3 linked regions of the Oryzias latipes genome follow. The protein of the gene in region 1 interacts with the protein of each later gene in a biochemical or structural test. Links are inferred from orthologs where the notes say so. Each region holds a gene or a part of one and is shown on either strand. Other genes may lie near its edges.

The links.
Region 2: the proteins of msh4 (region 1) and msh5 form a complex in vitro, tested with the Homo sapiens proteins (2 studies listed by BioGRID). The link is inferred for Oryzias latipes from reciprocal best matches to the Homo sapiens genes MSH4 and MSH5.
Region 3: the proteins of msh4 (region 1) and mlh3 form a complex in vitro, tested with the Homo sapiens proteins (2 studies listed by BioGRID). The link is inferred for Oryzias latipes from reciprocal best matches to the Homo sapiens genes MSH4 and MLH3.

Annotation. Positions count from the first base shown.
Region 1 is NC_019880.2:12,788,344-12,792,638, forward strand, and holds the start of msh4 (mutS protein homolog 4), read left to right. Parts: upstream 1-1,399; 5' UTR 1,400-1,638; coding exon 1,639-1,813; intron 1,814-1,972; coding exon 1,973-2,110; intron 2,111-2,826; coding exon 2,827-2,990; intron 2,991-3,085; coding exon 3,086-3,196; intron 3,197-3,308; coding exon 3,309-3,424; intron 3,425-3,511; coding exon 3,512-3,685; intron 3,686-3,757; coding exon 3,758-3,930; intron 3,931-4,021; coding exon 4,022-4,089; intron 4,090-4,217; coding exon 4,218-4,292; intron 4,293-4,295. Other genes in the region: vcpkmt (protein-lysine methyltransferase METTL21D), read right to left, coding at 1-50, 136-249, 385-641. UniProt on the Homo sapiens protein: Involved in meiotic recombination. Required for reciprocal recombination and proper segregation of homologous chromosomes at meiosis.
Region 2 is NC_019874.2:17,861,369-17,863,733, forward strand, and holds the end of msh5 (mutS protein homolog 5), read right to left. Parts: coding exon 2,361-2,365; intron 1,491-2,360; coding exon 1,344-1,490; coding exon of another isoform or gene 1,302-1,343; exon of another isoform or gene 1,301-1,301; intron 1,219-1,300; coding exon 1,081-1,218; intron 1,002-1,080; coding exon 928-1,001; intron 855-927; coding exon 734-854; 3' UTR 522-733; downstream 1-521. Other genes in the region: sperm acrosome membrane-associated protein 4-like, read left to right, coding at 1-106, 193-410.
Region 3 is NC_019880.2:13,231,551-13,235,756, reverse strand, and holds the start of mlh3 (DNA mismatch repair protein Mlh3), read right to left. Parts: upstream 2,928-4,206; 5' UTR 2,735-2,927; coding exon 292-2,734; intron 171-291; coding exon 63-170; intron 1-62. UniProt on the Homo sapiens protein: Probably involved in the repair of mismatches in DNA.

The sequences.
Region 1 (4,295 bases):
CCATGAGGACATAACGAGGGGGAGGCAGGAACTCGGACACATCACCTCCCCTTAAGAGGAAACCCGATTTAACACAAATACACAACTAAATGAAAAAAAACTAAACAGGCATAATATAAAAAACACAGTACAAACCATTTTAGTACCTTGGCAGTTATAGATCCACGACTAACAAGGGCTTGGTTGTCTTTTATATTCACTTTCAGGAGTTTCTGAAGTTCCTCCAGGTCTGTGACAATAACTTGTGCTCTGTAAGTTTAAGATGAAGATGTCACTTTTGACTTATCTTGATTTTTAAACGATGATCTCTCTGGGTAAGGCAAGAATGCTAAGATATAGTAAAAGGGGAAAAATAGCTCCTAAAATAATATCCAGGAATCTCACCCGAGTGTTGCTGCCATCAAACCAACAACTCCTGTCCCAGCTCCCAGCTCAACAACACGCCTGCCAGACCACACGTTGACTCCTGACGGCGGGTCATAAAATTGTTTGGTTTCTAAATATTTCGCTAGGACAATTGCTGCATCCCAAACTACACAGCCGACGTCCCCGACATAACACTGCTTCACCTTCAGAGTGCAACCGTCGTTGTTCTCAATTTCTCTCACGAAATATTCGCTAGCATTCGCATTCGACGCCATGTTGAACCGATGTTTTGGAGAGAGAAAAAAAAACTACAAACTTCCTGTTTAAAACATTTTAGAGTAAAAGGTTAATAGTTTGGTGTGCCAATGACGTTTTCTCACTTTACCTATATCTGTGTTTTTATTGTGCATTAATTCACCAATTAAAATAAATCAGTAAGTTATATTTTGATTTGCTAATGGGCAAATAATTTTAAAATACATGTGAAAATATTTTCAAAATAAAACATTTCCGGCTACGGACTTGGAAGTGGTATTCATTTTTTCTTGTCTGGCCTTTTAAAAATGAACATTTATTGCATTTATTTTTGTAAGTTATTGTAATTTATTTATTGTTTTCTTGATTTGTGGTTACAGTTTTATCATTATAATTATTTTATGCTGTTGTTGTTTTCCTAATACATTTTTATAAACAACATATACAACAAACACGTGAATGCCAAAGGAAAAGAAAGAACAGACATACAATTAACAATGAGCTACAGTTTTTTTTACTACCTCTTCAAAAATTACATTTGTTGAAATGGCCTTTTTTGAAATTTATTTGATAATTTTACCATATTGATATTGCATACATTTCTGTAAAAAGTTTTTCAAGTTTAGGTTTTTAGTTCGACTACTTCCTTTTATGAATATGCAATTTCCCCAATAACAAATGTAGTTTTGTTTAATAAAAAAAATAGATTCCGATTCATGTATTCATTAAACCCGCCTAAAAGTATGTATTTTTCTGAATTGTTGTTCCAGGTCTAGGACTGTTATCATTTCCGACACTGTTCGCCAAGGCTGCCTTGACGGCAGTTGCACCGGTGGACATGCGCAGATGCTGCTACGGGGAAGAGAGCGCCGCGCGCCCAATCTGTGGTTGTTGCTATCTGTCCAGAAAAATACACCTCTCGATTTCCAGTTGTACTGTTTGACACAACTTTTTTACCCTGTGTGAAAATAAGTTTGGAAACTTTTGTCCGTTGTCAAACTTTTGCGATATGTAAACATGTATAATAGTAGCACAGACGAGGTAAGCGGTGGGGAAGCCTCTTTAGGAAAGAAGGGAGTGCAGGAAACGGCCACCTCCTACGGTCCTGCATCACTTTCCTCAGCTTTCTCCCAGCATAGTTTAAATGACAGCAGCACCAGCCAGAGACTATCTATACCAAGACTAACCTCAGGTAATCAATAATATAATATCTCTAACCAAGTTAGTTTAAAGCTAACTTAAAGTAAAAAGATGTCTGTTGGTAACCAGACCAAATGAAATTCTATAATGGGGTCTTTTGCTTTTGTCCTTATGTTTTGAGTGAGTTTGTTGCTTTTTCTTTTGAACTCAGCAGGTCAACGCCACAGCAGCTTCGGGGCAGGGAGGACATGGTCATCAATGCCCGCACCAACTTCAGACAGTTCTTCCTTTCACAGCTATGGAGGAACCCCAAGAGTCAGAAGAACACCCGTGTCTGCTGGGCTCACAGGTTGCAGACACAGACATCACTAGTTAAAGTCCCACTCCAGTCACCTTTTGATCCATTGTAAAAGCGTTCCTAGTGATCTGTTAATTATGAAAATATGCCACTTTTAGGCAAAATAAAGCAAAACTGTGTTGTTTTCGTGGACATTAACTCTGCGGAGTGGCAATAATTCGTCAGAAATTTGCCTCTGAGTGGTGGGCGTTGCTGTTGGAGTAAGCCTGACCTCATTTCCCGTCATCCTTTTGTTTACATTCTCTCCCGCTGGCTCACAGCTCCTCGCAACCCCAAACCTAATATTACAGGTGCAACAAAAATGACGAGCATTATCAGATCTAGTTTTCAGCCAGATGCCAGTTCAAACGAAGAAAACAAAGACGTTCATAGATCCGTTTGTCAATACATCTGAAGTTGATGCATCAGAATGGAGCAGAGCAGGGAGCTCGAGCCCACTAACTAAAGCAATTACATCCCTGCTGCAGCCTTTTTGCAACTGGAGACTGCATTTTTTTATGTCTCAACAATTTGAATAAAGACATTCTCAGAAATGCAATGATGAGCTTAATTTTCTTTATTTACGTTCTCCATCATGAGAAAAATGCCACAAAAGGATGTTAAAAATTCCCAAAGCACGATTTTCACTGGAGTGGGTCTATAAAATGTCCCCATCCAATAACATGCTTGAAATCAATTCAACACTTTTTGGTTTTGGATCGTTTTAGGAAGTAGCTGCTCATCTGGATCCACAAACACTGATGCTTCTGTGATCGTAGCTGTGGTAGAAGGCCGAGGTTTGGCCAGAGGAGAGATCGGTATGGCCAGCCTTAACTTGAAATGTCCAGAGCTGGTACTTTCCCAGTTTGCAGACACAGGAACGTATGCCAAGGCAAGCTCTGTATTTCCTATAAAACTAGCATGAACTGAGAATCCGACATGATGTTGAGCGTAAATGTCTCACGTCTTCTTTTGTTTCCTTTGAAGGTTATTACCAAAATCCACATATTGGTCCCAGTGGAAATACTGATGCCTGACACAGCCTGCGAAAAGGGCAAAGGAACAAAGCTGTTCAAGCTCATCACAGAGAATTTTCCTGTAAAAATGAGAAGTGAAAAAAAAAGCTAATAATTTGTGCTGGAACAATTCACCGAGATGAATCCGTTGGGGTTGTGTTTGCCCTCTTTTCATGTTTTTTTTTTTTTGCCAGGGTGTACCTTTCACAGCAATTCAAAGGAAATATTTTAATGAGAAGAAAGGACTGGAATACATTCAGCAGCTGTGTGCTCCAGAATACGGCACCGTTTTAATGGAAGTTCAAGCCAAGTAAGTAACTGATTTCATAAATGCACAGTGGGAGTTTAACTGGAGCATTGGGCTTTTTTATATTAATCAGTATTATGGTTTGCTCAGGTATTATTGCCTTGCAGCGGCTGCAGCTTTGCTGAAATACTTAGAGTTCCTCCAGAATTCAGTTTATGCAGCCAAGTCTCTTAAAGTGACCTTCAAAGGAAGTGAACAGACTGCCATGATCGACTCTGCATCTGCTTACAACTTAGAGCTGGTGGTCAATAACAGAGATCACAGGTAAGAAAAGGCATTTTTATCCTGTCATTGTAATATATCAGTAAGCCTCTGTCTTTGCTCAACCTTGTGCAGGAGTGAGCATACTCTTTTAGGGGTGCTCAACCATACCAAAACACCTGGGGGTGCCAGAAGATTGCGCTCCAATATCTTGGAGCCTCTTGTTAATGTGGACACCATCAACATGCGATTGGATGCTGTACAAGAGCTCCTGCAGGACGAGGAGCTTTTCTTTGGGCTAAAGAACGGTCAGAAACTAGCTACAAATATTTTGACCACAATTCAAAAACGTATGAGTATCATTAAGTAGAGCATTAGTCTTTCCCTTTTTTTTTATAGCCATCTGCCATTTTCTTGACGTTGACCGGCTGCTGTCAGTTCTTGTCCAGATCCCAAAACAGGAAACGGTGAGTATCAAACTTGTAGTTTTTCTTATGATTGAAACTAACAGTTAATCACCATTACGCCTTTGTTTATTGATTTTTTTGTGGGGTTTTTTTTGTGTGTGTGTTTAACTCTGCTTTTTTTTCTACAGGTTCAAGCTGCTGAAGCCAAGATCACACATGTCATTCAGCTGAAACACACACTTGATCTGGTGCCACAATTAAGGGTG
Region 2 (2,365 bases), on another chromosome or scaffold:
CATCTGGAGTGTTTCCGCTGTGACCTGGGCTTCTGGGATGCCTGTTACACCACGGAAACCAACTGCAGCCGCGGCGAGCTCTGCTACACAGGCCGTGGGAAAGCAGGTAAGATGAGCACCAGCTTGCTATTTCTGTTCCTCATTCATGGAAATGTCTGGGTCGAAATGCTGGATGTTGCTCTCCCTCCTCAGCTGACGCTCTGGATATAAAGACTCTGGGCTGTGTTATGGCGGAGGAGTGTGGGGTGGAGACGACAGTGGAGCTCTTTCCTAACAGAACCGTCTTTGCCATGACCAAATACTGCTGTGACACGCCTTACTGCAACTCAGCAGACCAGTTTACTACATGCACACTCTTGTATCTCACTGCTTTGATAACTACTTTGAATCTCACTGTTCCATCAACCTAATTTTAGTTCATTAGTTTGTTTTTAAAGAGAGAACGACTGAACCACATGCTCAGACCTCCAAAAAATGTCTTCATTTTTGTATTTATTAATAATGAATCTGCAGAAACTGGACCGTTAAAACAAAAATATCTGTTTATTTGATCATTTTTCAACACAAAATGCTTGAAAACGTTAAATAAAATGTCCTTTCCTGTTTTGTAACCTCAACCTTTGTAACATACACAGAACATAAAACGTTTCTCTCACTCCAACAGAGATCATGTGTTCTTTGTGCTTCTGCTCTTAACCTGAAACATTTATGGACAAAATAACAGTGGATGAGTTCAGCTGGAGTTCTGTGGCTCTCCAGCAGAGGGCAGGATTTCCTCTTTCATAAAACTCTTTAGGTCCAAATCTTTGTTGTCCAGGTCGAGGCTCAGGAACTTCTCCACCATAATCTTGCACCTGTCAGTCATAAATTGTTATTTTTTGTTTCACTTAAACAGACATATAAAGCCATTTCAGAAGTTCAGCAAACCTCTTTTCCTTTTCGTCAGACGAAGCTCCCTGGGTGCGTTTGATGGGCTTTCCTGTTCTGTAATGTTCCGACACCTGACGCGAGGCAGAAACGACAGTCGGTCGCACTGTAAAGTCTGTGAGCTCTCCCCGGTGGACGTTTATGAGTGTTTACCTCCACTGCTCTGTGTACCAGGCGAGCTGGCAGCCCTGCAAGGGATGCGATATTGGCTGCGTAGCTCGACTGGCAGATTCCTTCCCTCAGCTGGTACAAAAACACCAACTCATCTCCATCCACGGCAGTCTCCAGGGTCTAACCAACACACACATGGACAGACAGACATGCAGGCAACTTCTCTGTGGGCTTTGATGGCATCATTAGAAAAGACAAATACCTCAGGCTAAATTGTGTTTTTCTATATGAGCTTCTGACCATACCAGAAAAGATACCATTCTGCTCGCTGGCAGCAGGCCTAGCTGCAGCAGACTGTGGAAGTTAGTAGACAGCAAGATGTGAGGAACATCCACAGGAGCCTTCCTCAGCCAGTGACAGACTGAAGCAGCCAGCAAAGACAGACCATCCACCTGAGCAGAAACAGCATACATTTCCCAGCAACACCCTCATTTCTGCAAACTACAGAATCTAGTGACTGAGCTGTTCCTATGAATAATTCCTTTAAACTTTAGGATGAAAAACGACAACAGGTTGGGTATTTTCCTTAAATAGGTGTATAAGTTTGGACTTTTCTGCAGCTCCCAAAAAGAAACAGGTGAATTAAGCTCTTTTTGTCAAAAACAGTCATAACACTGACTCACTACTTAGTGCACTATACTGTATAGGGCGTTTGCCATTTTGTAGAGCTGTTCAAATCTACAATTCCAAAATCCAGTGCCTTGGAAATTTCCCAGAAGTCTTTGCAAAAAACTAGAGTGCATTGATGCACACTAGATTAGTAAATATAGACCACAATGCATTGCTGTTGAACAATTTGTCATCTGAAAAACTTATATACATTTATTTTTTATAAATCATCCCAGTTTTCATCATTAAAACTCAGTGGATTCATAAAGAATCTTCCAGAAATGTTCATTTTTTTAGGTTTTACTTTGACCAATTGGAGACATCAAATCTGGCTTGAAAAAAAAAAAGTAGAGAGCATCCGAATTGCATCAACATCCAGGGCATTAGACAATACTATATACTACGCACTGTAGTCTTTTAGGTGTTTAGGGAGTAGTGAGGGAATTCAGATATGGCTCTACTCACTGCAGCGTTAAGAAAAGACACATCTGCGTATCTGCAGGAGTCAACAGCTGGTATTGCTTTTTCTTTCATTGGTTGACTAATTTCTGGTTGATCTGAGTGTTTGTTTCAAATAAAGGGCATTTTGTCTCTTTGTAAGGCTCATAAACAGGCGTCTAAATCCCATGACAACTTGAAATGTTTCTTCTTACCGAGT
Region 3 (4,206 bases), about 440 kb from region 1:
TAATGTTACCAAATCAGCCTCATCTGGTGTGTTTTCAAGAGTCTAATCTGTCAGTGTGGTACCTCCGCAATCAAGCCCTGAGCTAATCAGCCTCTCCGACCTGGATTTAGGCAGGAAAGGCAACACTACATCCAATTGAAAAGGATAACACCTGTACTCCATCCCTACAGCTCCAAGCACAGGAAAGCAAACACCAAGAAAAAACAACAACTTTCTGCTCATAAACTGTTTTTTTTTTTTTTTTTTTTTTTACATATTATGGTTTCTCTGAAGGGTTATTTGAGAACTCACCCGTTTCAGAAATGACACTAACTGCCATATTGGTGACGTCGGATGTGCAGCAGACTTGCGTTTCTTCGGCTGGGTTGTCATATCTGCTGAGCCCGGTCACTCTGTTGATATAAACGGTCTTTCCGACAGACGTATTGTAGTGGTGAAGCCAAGTGCCAGATGCTGAATCCTCCTCAGCCCCGGCCTGAAGAGGACTTGTACTGCGGTGCGGGGTGGACCCAGCATGCACTGCAGTATCTTGAGGATTCTGACTGCTGCTTTCCTCCTCTGTGCCTTTATTACAGCTGCTAAGACAGATTTTCTTCTCCAACATAGTGCTGGGCCTGTGCAGAGAAACTTCTGCCTCTTCTTTCCTCAGTTCCTTTAACTGGGAGAGTTTTGCAGAGAAAGATAATTTGTCTTTATTCTGAGTTTTCCTAGCAGGAAAGCATGACAGATTTTGGGAGGAACTCTGTTTCTCCCTATCCCCTTGCACCTCAGCAGTTGTACGTTCCTTCCAATCATTGCTGCAAACAGACAAACTTGAGGAATTTAAGACAAGGCTGGACGTCTGGGGACCTCTTGCATCTTTCTGTAAATGCTGACGAGGTAGTTTCATCTCACCAGAATGGGCATACATTTGTCTAAACTTGTCAAGGGATCCGGATTCCTTAAATGCAGACAGTTTCTGACAAGGAAAAATTCTGGAAATCTTTGTGGGGGGGACAAAAGAAGGGTCTCTGCATGGATTTTGAGTGGATCTTTCCTGAGGTGCATTCAGAGAGATTTTGCGTTTTGGTGCAAAGTATTTATTCTGGCTATTTCCTCCTAACGTCTGCAATGGAAACGTGAAATTGTTAGTTAGCTGATTATCTTGAACAATTGATTCAGACAAACTGATCTTTCTGTTGCTTGCTAAGGACTGTTGTAGCCTGCCTGCGACTTGTACATTCCTTGTTGGCTTTTTATGGTTGAAGTCATTTCGAACTAGCTGTTTTGGCGAGTTAACGCTTTGCCTCACATCTTCTGAAAACCCAACCTCGTGTACATTTGGCATCTTTGCATTTTTAACGACTCCACCGTCTTCTGACTCAATTTGTGTTGTCGTTTGTGACTCATTTTCAGATGCACCCGTTTGTCCTGATTCTTCGGTCTCATCAGTTTTGCTCTTAGTCAGACCAGACTCTGGGCAAACCCCATCATCTGTACTCCTACGATGAACAAGTTCAGATGCAAGTTTCATTCCATGGTGGCAGTCCGTGGCGGAAATGTCTGGGGGTGCCGCTCTCGTTTGGTCCTCCTCTTGATCTGCTTTGGAGGCACAGAACACTCGTGAAGACTCGCAGTCCAAGTCCTCCTGAGAAAACTCTGACATCAAGTTCTCCCTCCTCAGGAAAGCTCTGACTGCCTCTTCAACGCAGAGTAAAACCTCATCCCAGTCTCTGAACTCTATTAGAGTTTTGGTTGGTTCAAAACAGATATCATATTCTGAATAAGAACATTTAATGTTGAGGATGTAGACGCCAAAAAGCTCATGGCTTTGCTTATTCTTGGGACTTTTAATGACAGAAGGGCCATCTGAGGGGTCCGGTTTTTGTTTTAATCTGCGCAGTAGGAGGTTCAACAGCTTGTGGATCCTTGTTTTCAACAGCAGCCTTTCATTGACATACAGGAATTGCAAGCTGTTATTGTAGTGTCCCTCTTTGCCAAGGTAACCGACTGCTTCAAACTGCTTGTGGCTGTAGCAGATTTCTCCCAGCTTCTCTGCTCGTGTGAGACCGTGGATCTGCACGAACCTGTGATAGGTGCTTTTAGCTTTTGGGAGCTGTACCATCATGGCTCCAGTGGAGTCATTTTTCAAGGTAAAGGACACAGACGGGTTCATGAGGGAAACGGCCTCCACCCTGTGCCTGACCCGTTCCCCCTCCAGCACAGCATCCAGCCTCCTCCTCCGCACCGGCATGTTGTGGAAGAAGTTACAGACGATGACGGTTGTCCCCGCAGAGGGTCTAACAGTCTCTGCTTCAAATACATCCACGCCCCTCCCGTCTTTAAACAGCTTCACGAGGGTTTTGGCAGACGCCCGGGAACGGGATGAGATTTCAACCAGCGTTGCCATAGAAACGATACTTGCCAAGGCCTCTCCTCTGAAACCGTGCGATTTGACGTTGTCCAGGTCTTCCAAAGAGCCGCATTTGCTTGTGTGATATCTGTTTCCCACACGCTGCATGTTCTCAGTGTTCATCCCGGCACCATTGTCGATCACCTGGACTTTAAAAGCCTCCAGGTCCATTCGGACTCCCACGCAGGTCGCCCCGGCATCTATGCTGTTCAAAACGAGCTCCTCTACGCACTGCTGCAGGGAGGGGATGGCGACGCCGGAGCGAAGCTGCCCCTGAACTTCTGGAGGCAACAATTTAATCATTGTACTGCTTCTCTTCTCTGAGCATTGAGTTGTTTTCATCTCTGCTATAAATAAAACTAGTCAGCAACTGATATAAAACTAAAAGTCATTGACTAGAAAAAAAATAGAATACATATTCTTAGGTCAAATATTACAAAAGCGTTTTTTTAAAAGCCTTCAAAACAGCAAATGACGTCAATTTAAAAATAAATTAAACGCAAAAGCAAGTGTGTCGTTGTTTACAACCAACGTGTTGAAAAATGAGAACGTTTTCCTCAGGTTTTAGCTAACAGCCAAATCCTACAATGCCATCTAGCGGTTAGTGGTGGAATTGTCGCCGGGCAAATCTATCCGGTTAGCCCTTGTGCTATCTTAGATTACCCCACCCTTACATTGACGTGTTCTCCCTACCATGACAAAGGTGGTTAAAGGTGGAAATATTTCATGTAATCCATGGACACCAGTGAAGTTCACAAATCATTTAAGAAAAAAGGTTCAAAGCACTTTCTAGTGGGTCTAGATGACCCAACTCCCGATGTTAAAGTGCCTAGGATAGCACAAAGGTTAAAAAAGTTCCCAGAACAGAGTGAAGTTATCCTTTATAAGTATTATCTTGTTTTCTAGAATCCAAAAATATGAACAAAATGCCATAATATTCAAAGAATATTCAAAATTACTAGGATCTTGAAGAAAGCCTGATAAAAACTCTTATTTTTTTTTTATTGGTAGGTGCAGCACAATTTATTTGGTCATGATGTGATTAATATAAAAACAGGGAGAAATATATTTAGGTGGGTGAGGCTACTTCAAAAATTCAACTTTTTAAACGTTGAAACAGATTTAGTTTAAATTATGTTTAGACAACTACAAACTTGTGACCTGGCCTAAATAAAAAAAATATTCTTACAAAAATAAAATGAAAAATTTGCCCATGTATGTTGTGTGAGTCTGATTTTATTCTCACAGATATCTTTTTTAACGTCATCCTTTACTGACTGCATTTACTTGAGACAATTTATTTTTACATCCCATTCACAGTGTTTAACCTTTAAAATGGAGCACCTTTTAAAATAAAGTTTAGATTTTCTTTTTCTCTATATCAGTGGAAATACAAACACCAGAAAAACCAGTTTAAATTCATTTCAATTTATTTATTATTGGCAGTCCAGGTAAAGGTTGTTACCAAATGATTTTCTTAATAGGATATTAAGGAGTGCCAGCATTAGTATTACACATATGGAGCTCAATAAGGTTGTTTTATTACAACCATTTAAATAACATTATTTTTAAAAACTAAATAAATATGTAATGCATTTTAAGATTAACAACATAGTGAAATGAACCTATTTCATTTCACTATGTTGAAAGAGGAGTGTTCTAAGCTATCAATTGTTTTTTCATTGCTGAATTCTGCTTTGGTTATGCGTGACTTAGGGCTGCCAGTGGATTTCAACCACTCTTGCATTTCCTTCACTTTGCTGCAGGGACCTTGCAGCTGCCCCTGGACCGTTCCTGCACCGGTGTTTTGAACC